2 linked regions of the Rattus norvegicus genome follow. The protein of the gene in region 2 interacts with the protein of the main gene of each other region in a biochemical or structural test. Links are inferred from orthologs where the notes say so. Each region holds a gene or a part of one and is shown on either strand. Other genes may lie near its edges.

Region 1 (4,400 bases), on a different chromosome or scaffold from region 2:
AGCACCAGAGAATGAAACCCGAGAGATCTAGACCTCAAGGCCAGCCTGGGTTTTATGCCTAGACTCTGTCTCAAGAAAATAAAACCTGAGCTGGAGAGATGGCTCAGAGGTTAAGAGCACTGACTGTTTTTCCAGAGGTTCTGAGTTCAAATCCCAGCAACCACATGGTGGCTCACAACCATCTATAATGAGATTTGATTCTGAAAGAAAGAAAGAAAGAAAGAAAGAAAGGAAGAAAGAAAGAAAGAAAGAAAGATTTACATGTGGTCAAGAATTGTGGCACATGTAAATCCTGACACTTCAGGAGGAGGCAGAGGCAGGCAGGTCTCTCTAAGTTCTGGTCTACCAAAAAAACCCAAAAACCAAAACAAAAAACAAACAAACAAACAAACAAAAAAACAAAACACCAACCCAGTCAGCACTACATAGTTGGATAAGTGGGGCTTATCTCAAAAACAATCAAAACCTTGTATGTGGTGGAGGGTGGGGGTCGTAGGGAATGTGTGTCTGCACACACTTTTGTCAGGTGAATGAGATCTGTGAGTTTGTGGGATCACAGCCCATCCTGGTTGTGCTGAGTCTCTGGCTTCGAACAGCCCGGGAAACATTGCCTTAAGGAAATATCTTAACATTTAAACTTAAAAGCATATATCTGCTCCTTTGAAATCTTGAAATTATAACCCTTACCAAAACCAAAAAAAATTTGTCTTAAATTGAAAAAGTGGGAACTGCCCACCTAGGGATGCCACTCAGTGGCAGAACATTTGCTAGTAAGCACAGGCTCGGAGGCTAAGAATAACAAGAATTAATTTAATTAATTAATTAATTAATTTAATCTGAATTTCAAAAAATACTGGCTCTACGGCAGTAGGATTTCGGTTAAAACATCCCCACCCCCACCCCGCACGTAAGACAGGGTTTGGTATTAAATTTCACCAGCTCATTGCCTGGTGACTGGCTAGACTCTGTGGCCGAGAACCGAGGCTTCCTCTTGTGTCCCAGCAACCTAGTGGCATATTCGCCGCTGGTTTTGCAAGCCTTGAAAAGCACAGTCCGGCGAGGCACGTGATACTCTCCTTTGTCACGGAACAAAGGCTGATCCGAGTTTTCAGCCCTCACTGAAAGGAGGGTTTGCCAGGGCTTGCTAGAGCTTCCGATTACAAGCAAGAGGGAGGGCGACGTGGCACCAAGTAAAGAATCTAGCCACAGGTACTTTCGGCCGCCCCTGGATCCCAAGATAAGCCCGCCTGTGTCTGCATTAGCTCCTTTTGTTCTCCAGCCGTAAGGCCATTAAGCAAATATTGACTAAAGAAATGTGCAAATCGTATCCAAAGTAGATTTGCGCACACCAAAATCCTGATCCAGACACTTAGACTTACTGGGGGCCTACTGTGTGTCAAGATAAGACCCTGTCCGATCAGGAAGTGGCATTCCCACAAAAAAAAAAAAAAAAAAAGGAAAACCTTAATATGCTAAGTTGTTTAAAACACGGAGCCTGTCCTATGGGTACCCGAAAGTAACCGTTCTTTATTTTTACAAAGATCTTTTACTACTGCAGGTGACAAAAAAAAAACCCTAAATAATAATAATAATAATAATAATAATAATAATAATAATAATAGTAACGGAGCCCAATGCTCAATCTGTGTCTAGAGGTCCTCTCCAACACCAACAACCAATTTTTACATGTTAATTATTAAATTGGCACTTAACAGTTCTCCACCAAGCTCCCTTGATTTGCTTAACCAACACCTCCCTCTCAACATTTCTATGGGGAAGGGAGCTGAGAAGGGAATCCGGGTGAGACCAACCAGTTTCGGGATGCTGAGCCCCTCCTAGATGGGGGTTCGGGAGGACTGAGAAAGGCCCCGGGGCACAGCCAACCCACAGAGAAGACAATGGGGTACAGTTACCCTGCCTGAGATGGGGAAGACGAAGCGCGCTCCAAGCTCTTGGGCTGCTCTCCCAGGTGAGCCCGGAGCCTGGATCTCTAGGGTCCGAAAATCTGGCGCGCCCAACTTTTCAGGGGCGAAGCCCGAGGGACATCCCTGAGCGAACCGAAGGCTGTGGAAAGCCACGGTCTGCTTCTCCGAGTCCCGCCCTGGTCTCCCAGGCTCAGGTCTCATTCTGGGCGCGGCTCCTTCACCCTTTCGCTAAGGCAGCTAGAGCAGCGCCACCCATGGTGTTGGGGGGTGAGATCTGTACCCGGGACAAATCTAAGAGAGGAAACGGCTGTGGACTAGGACAAAGCCTGGCGGAGAATCGGGACACTGGAGTCCTGCCCTCCGTCTCTACAGTGCCATTGGGTCTGGGCTGAGATGGGGCCCCTAAGGTGGCCAGGGATGGAGGTGTGGGGTCGCACCGCGGGAGTTTGTGGCGTCGGGAGGTCCCTAGCTTCAGGACTGAGAACCCCCGGTGGAAGACAGAGCCACAACCAGGGATTCCTGGGCGATCTCCAAACCAGTTTGGACGGTGGAGAATGGGCGTGTGCCACGCTCCCCCGAAGGGGACCGTCCCCTCTCTTTGTGTGGTTCGCAGGGAGCTCGAAGACCCTCCGTGGGAGGGGAGGGGGGGCTCTCTCTAGGGAGTCCACTCCACGAGTTCCCCAAGTCACATAAAATTCTCTCCCTACCCCTGTGCGTGGCCGGAGGTAGGGACTTCACCCCTGCTACACACACACACACACACACACACACACACACACACACACACACACACACGCCCCCAGGACGCGGCCCCACGCCACACCGAGAGCAGGGTCTCACCTGCGTGGGTAGGAGCAGTGCCAGAAGCAGCAACCCCAGCCCTAGCCTGACCACCATCGCTCTGCCCATGTCCGCTCCGTCGGCGCGCGGCGCGACTCTCTGGATGCTCGGTGCGTGGAGATGTGCTCGGCTGGCGCGGACGCAGGCAAGGTGGGGAGCGCGGCCGGCCGGCGGGACCTTATATACCGGGACAGCCACAATAGCCGTGACGTGCGGCGCCCGCCCACCCCTGCTCTCCTCCTACCCTGCCGCCTCCCCGCTCCCCACCCCCCTGCGCCGCTCTCGCCCCCTCCCCCGCCGCCTGCTCGGAGCCCGCCCGGGTGACTTGGGATGTCCCGAGGCGGCCAGCGCGGCAGGTGGGCGGACGCCCGGGGCTGTGACCCAGCTAGGGTTTCCCGGGGCGGGCAGCGTGCACAGGCGCTGGCGACTCCCACACGGGACCCGGGGCGAGCACACGAACCACACACGCCGCCCGGCCTAAGTTTCCTTTGTTTCCCCGGCCCTGCCATCTTACCCCCCAACAGGAAAAGTCGAAGCCGCGGGCGCCGCGCAGACTGCGCGGAGCTCGGGGCTGGGTTTTCTCAAGTGCCCGCTGCAGGGGGGAACTGGGCAGGCTTGGCAGGTCCCTGGGCCGTGGCGCGTGGGGTTGGCGAGCAGACCCGGCGCCGCCTCGCGCTGTCCCTTGGCGGCTGCACCGCAGGGATCGCAGGGATCGCAGGGATCGCAGGGATCCCGGACCCCAGCCGTGAGTATGCTCGGCTGGGCGGCCGCCCCTCGCTCGGCTGCTTGCTTTGTGTTTTGAGCTGGTCTAGTGCTGCATTCAGCAGAGCGCACCCGGGCAAACCCCCCGCAGCATCCACCCGGACCTAGGGAACAGCCAACTGCGCACGGCCACGGGGCGGGACACTGAGAGGGACTGAGTTTCGGTCCAAATAATCTCCACGTTTCTGGGGACGCGCTTGTTCTGCCCAGTACTTGCTCAAGCCATTTTCCTCCATAGCTGCCGTGTAAGTCATTTTGACGAACCGATGCAAAAAGAGCAGTCATCGGTCTGTACGTTTTAATGGAATCTTTCTTTCGACCCTCTTCCTTTGTGAGAACTCAAAAGCAAATTTGAAAATTATTTAGTGGTGGAATATTTTTAAATTTTAATCACAGGGTTCTGGACCTTCCTATTTAAAGTGGTAGCCCACGTGTTTTGCGGCCCGTAAAAAGCCAAACAAAACAAACCTAGCAACGGTGGAAATTTGTTTAAATTTCAATTTTTTGCAGAACAGCCTCGTAAAAGCAGAGTTTTATGGGTGCAGGCTGACAATGGACTCCGTAGTCGTCGGTTTGTGGCTGCGTTGGCCTGAGCCTTACCGGGTCAGCCACAGCCGCTCAGTAACTTTCCACGTGTGAGATGTGCTTGGACACACAGGAATTTCTGTATAGCGCCAGTGAACTTTCCTGTCTAACAGTTACCACACTGTATAGAAAGGTCATTCTGTGCCCAGCTCCCGGCTCCTCACCGAGGGTGGCGCCTAATCCCAAGCGCCCGCCCGGGTCTTCAGAGCTTCTCCGGGACAGACTAGGGGACTTCTCCTGCTGTTGCTCCAGGTTTTGCCCTCCGATTGTTTTTCTGCCCCTCTCCTC
Region 2 (4,119 bases):
TAATTGAAAAAGTAGCTTGAGGCCAGGTCTTGTATCAAATGCCAGTCAGCAACAGGGGAGCCACCTTCAGGGCCCTGAATAGAGCAGACCAGTGAAAAGATGTATCTAGCAGTGTTGTTGAGTGGAGACAAGAACCCTAGGCTACAAAAAGCAACTCTTGTTAACTGTGTCCCTGAAGGAAGTTAAAGAAGAATTGATGTGCTGGAGTCAATGGGAATGGAGAAGGGAAGGAAGATAAGAACAACGTCAGGCCATAGGACCAAGGCATATGTCACAAGGCATTGCAACATTGTAACAGTTCCGATCCTAGCGCCCCAGAGTTCCTGGATGGTAATGGTAGAGGGCCAAGATCCTAGCAGTCACCCACCCTCCCCCATCAAATAACACACAGAAAACGGCTTGTCTCTAAGTCGAGCAGATTTCAAATAAATACAAGATGCGTCCCATGATCCGACCACTCAGAATCTAAGCACTTAAGTTAGACCAGTCATGACATTATGTTAAACGAAATAGTAACATTAAAATAAAACACAGTTTTTAAAACACTACAAGATCTTAGCTGAGTTGCATCCCTGTGTTTTCTTTGCATTCGACATTGTAAAGCATCTGACTTGCTTTTCCAGCAGAGACATTAGACAAGGTAGTGGCTGTCATCATAAAAACCAGCCTCCCCGTGGGCTTTGCTCAGTACTGCCTCCTATGCCAAAAGTCACGTGTGTGTGTGTGTGTGTGTGTGTGTGTGTGTGTGTGTGTGTGTGTGTGTTTTGTTTGTTTTTTGCTTTTGGTGATGTGACTAGTAATCATTTCTGTTCAGAACTTTAAAGATGCATATTCTAAGAGCTGATTGCCAGCCTAGAACAACATGGAGCCGATAAAGTAGAAGGAACTGTAGAAACTGGAAGGCGGAGCCTAAAGTAGTTAACTGTTTACATGACATGATCCTGAGCTGTTCCTTGGCCTGCAAAAGCCTTGACAGAAATCAGGATAATGTAACTGTAAATCCCTAAGCAGGGGCCGTTCCCTGTGAGCTGGCTGAAAATGTCCCACATGATACCCCTTAACTTCATTCTCTTGGGTCCGAAGTGAAGCCGCTATCTAAATATGAAGCAGATTTCACACAGACAGACTGAGCTTCCTGAATCCTAAGAGACAAATGTGCTCGGGGAGGAAGGAATCTGAATTATTACAATCAATGCTGGGCTGGGTCCTTAACACTTCACGGCAGAGCCTAGACTACGTTCCAGATAGAGCCGAGGAACTCCTGAGTATAACACACAGGAGGGAAATCTTAAGGGTCTCCTGGAAGCCACACAAGTCCAGGAACCTTTGCACAGTTGTCTATGAAGGTCAGCTTATATGGATATTTTCATCTAGGTCAGGAACTGCAGCTTTCATCAGAATCCTGAACAATGCCACCATCTATGCCACCATGTCTTTGAACTAGAAAAGGATGCCAAAAAGAATAGAAGGAAGAGATTGATGGCTCGTTTGCTTATGTCAACCAATTCAGAAGAATGACATGCTAAAAAACACAAGGAATCCTATTTTTTTTGCCATAGTGATTGAAAGAGTGCAGGCTCAAATGTCATCCTGGGTCTCTATTTTACTAACCAGACACACACACACACACACACACACACACACACACACACACACACACACACTGGCACACTGGTGAGGGGTGATCTCTTCCCTTTAAGTACTGCAAGGGTGTGTTGCAGTGAGGTGAGAGGGAGAGGAGTGATAGAATCATGAGGTAAGCATGGCTTTCTTTTGCAGTGCTGTATAAAGGTGTCTAAAAATCAATACCCTTCTGCTACCTCCTTAAGTACAGACTAGAAGATTTCAGATTCTGAGACTATGTGAGACACTCCTAGTACATTAAAAATACACATGATAGTACCCCAACTATGCATGTTTTATCCAAAGTCACTGTCCCGAGTTCAAAATACCTGGTTATCTTAGGATCTCCCCTCAATCCCTGACCTCACTATACCTCTGGAGTTTTCTCTTTCTTAAAGCAGTAGTTAGAATTTGCTAATCACTTACACACCAGCCTCAGATATAAATGCTCTTCAGTGCAACCTTATTTAATCTTTACTATGGTGGTGTATAAGAATATTATCATTACATCCCATTTGCATATGGGGAAACTGGGTTAGTAACACGAAAGATAGACATTTAGATCAGAACCATGTGGATAGTCTGGATTGGTCCTAGAAAACTACCAGTATTTAGAGAATGGGTTAGGAAGGATGAGAGTTAGAAGCTGTTCCGTGGTAGATATGCCCCAAGGCCCTTTCTCAGCCTTCCATTCATCCCAGAGAGAAAGGCAGACTTAGCGAAGAGGTGACATCCTTGCCAAGATCTGCTCCAAGGAGTTCCTGCAAGTTCCAGTGGAAAAGCAGCCGCGGTGTAGACAGAGAATGATAGCAACATCATCAAGTTTAAAGAGTGTGGTTAAATGCCTGCCCTCTGTAAGCCACAATGGTTCTATTTGTCAAATGGAAGTTATTCAAACTTCTAAGAACTTTGGAAGAATCAAAATGATCAGCCGGCTTTTAAAAATGCTTACAAACTAACCATGATGCTGTGCACCTACAAGCCTTGGCTACCTGGGAAGCTGAGGCAGGAGGATAGTACATTTAATGAGTCAAGGTAACGAGACCCCATTTCAAAAAGAGAGGGGAAAATGCCTGCAAATTCTACCTAGGCCATTCAACACAAAGCCCCAGGGCTAATGCTGGTCCTTACTTTCTGAACCTTTCTTCTGTCTGCTTCAGCCACAAACCACTTCGACTCCTCTAATTCCGATACAGAGAAAAACAAACTTACCATGTCCTCTCCGACCCGTCTGGCTTTCTTCCCTCTGGCCAAGCCACACTTCTTATACTTTTGCTGCCTCCCCTTGGTGTCAGGCTGCCTTGCAAAACAACTTCCTATTCGCTTTCCAGAAATTTATCACGGCCTTTCCCCTGATGTTAGACTGTTGATACTGCAGAGCAGAGTTGGCAGTTTCCAAGGAGCGGCTGCCAGGGGGCCAGTAGGTCAACCCTTCCACAGGAGACTGTCTGGAGACAGGCGCAGGTGTGAATCATGCCTGGCCATCCCAGACTGAGCAAGGCAGGAACAGGACCCATGCACCCAGGGGTCAGGTTTCCTTTGATTATGATATGAGTTCCAATGTAAGGTCGTAAGGTTTGGAAGACCTGCTTTGTACTCGTCACAAGTTCCCTCTGTAAATTCCAGTTAATGGAGATGCCAAAGAATGTTTTAAGATTCCAGTAGACTTCTGAGGGGACAAGGCAGAAAATAGAAGTAAAAATAAAAAAAAAACCTAAGCAGATAGAAAAGGGAAAATCCAGGGAGCGTTTCTAACACTTGGGGACTATTGCTGGAAATGGTTTTGAAGTGATATATAGAGCAGGCATGGGCGATCTGAGAACTCTGTCTCTCACGTCAAAAGAGGAAGGATAGAAAGGTGTGGTGGCACCTGCCTGTAATCCCGGAAGTCGAGCGATGGATAGAGGAGGGTTCTGAGTTCTAGGCAAGAATGGCTAGGTAAGCAGACCCTGCCTCCGTAAAAACGGGAAGGGCTAGTATTTCTTTTCTCGTGGAGAGTGTAGCATGTGGGGCCATGCATTCTGTTAGTGCAGTAGTTAGGATTTGGTCCATACATTTAAACTTCTTCAGACCTGTTCTTACTCCGTTTGTAGTCATCTATTGGGCTAATTAATTAATAAACTAAAAACTAAATGAATTCGATTCTCTACACTACCTCCTCAATTGCTAATCAGGATGATAATGATGGGTCTTACCTCACAGAGCTTTGTGAAATTACAGAGACTGATACAAGGAGAGGGCTTGACATAAGAGCAGACACACAGTAGGTGTTCCAAAAATGTCGCTAGTCATGGCTACTTTCCTGGTGGGCAATAAAGTAAAAAAACTAAATGTTCTGTATCGAGTTGGAAAAGAAACCTCACACTTTATCCTTTTGAATTCTGGTTAACAGTGTTGGCTATTATTTTTTTTCACTCTCTCTAGGATTGTTACAGTTTCTGCACAGACATCTCAAGGATAGGTTCGAAATTGGGGATGATAGAATCTGGGAAAAAT

What was found.
Region 1: the proteins of Selp (region 2) and Cd24 form a complex in vitro, tested with the Homo sapiens proteins (2 studies listed by BioGRID and IntAct). The link is inferred for Rattus norvegicus from reciprocal best matches to the Homo sapiens genes SELP and CD24.

What each region holds. Positions count from the first base shown.
Region 1 is NC_086038.1:48,654,986-48,659,385, reverse strand, and holds the start of Cd24 (signal transducer CD24 precursor), read right to left. Parts: upstream 2,910-4,400; 5' UTR 2,835-2,909; coding exon 2,766-2,834; intron 1-2,765.
Region 2 is NC_086031.1:79,008,247-79,012,365, reverse strand, and holds the start of Selp (P-selectin precursor), read right to left. Parts: upstream 2,856-4,119; 5' UTR 2,839-2,855; coding exon 2,836-2,838; intron 1-2,835. UniProt on the Homo sapiens protein: Ca(2+)-dependent receptor for myeloid cells that binds to carbohydrates on neutrophils and monocytes. Mediates the interaction of activated endothelial cells or platelets with leukocytes. The ligand recognized is sialyl-Lewis X.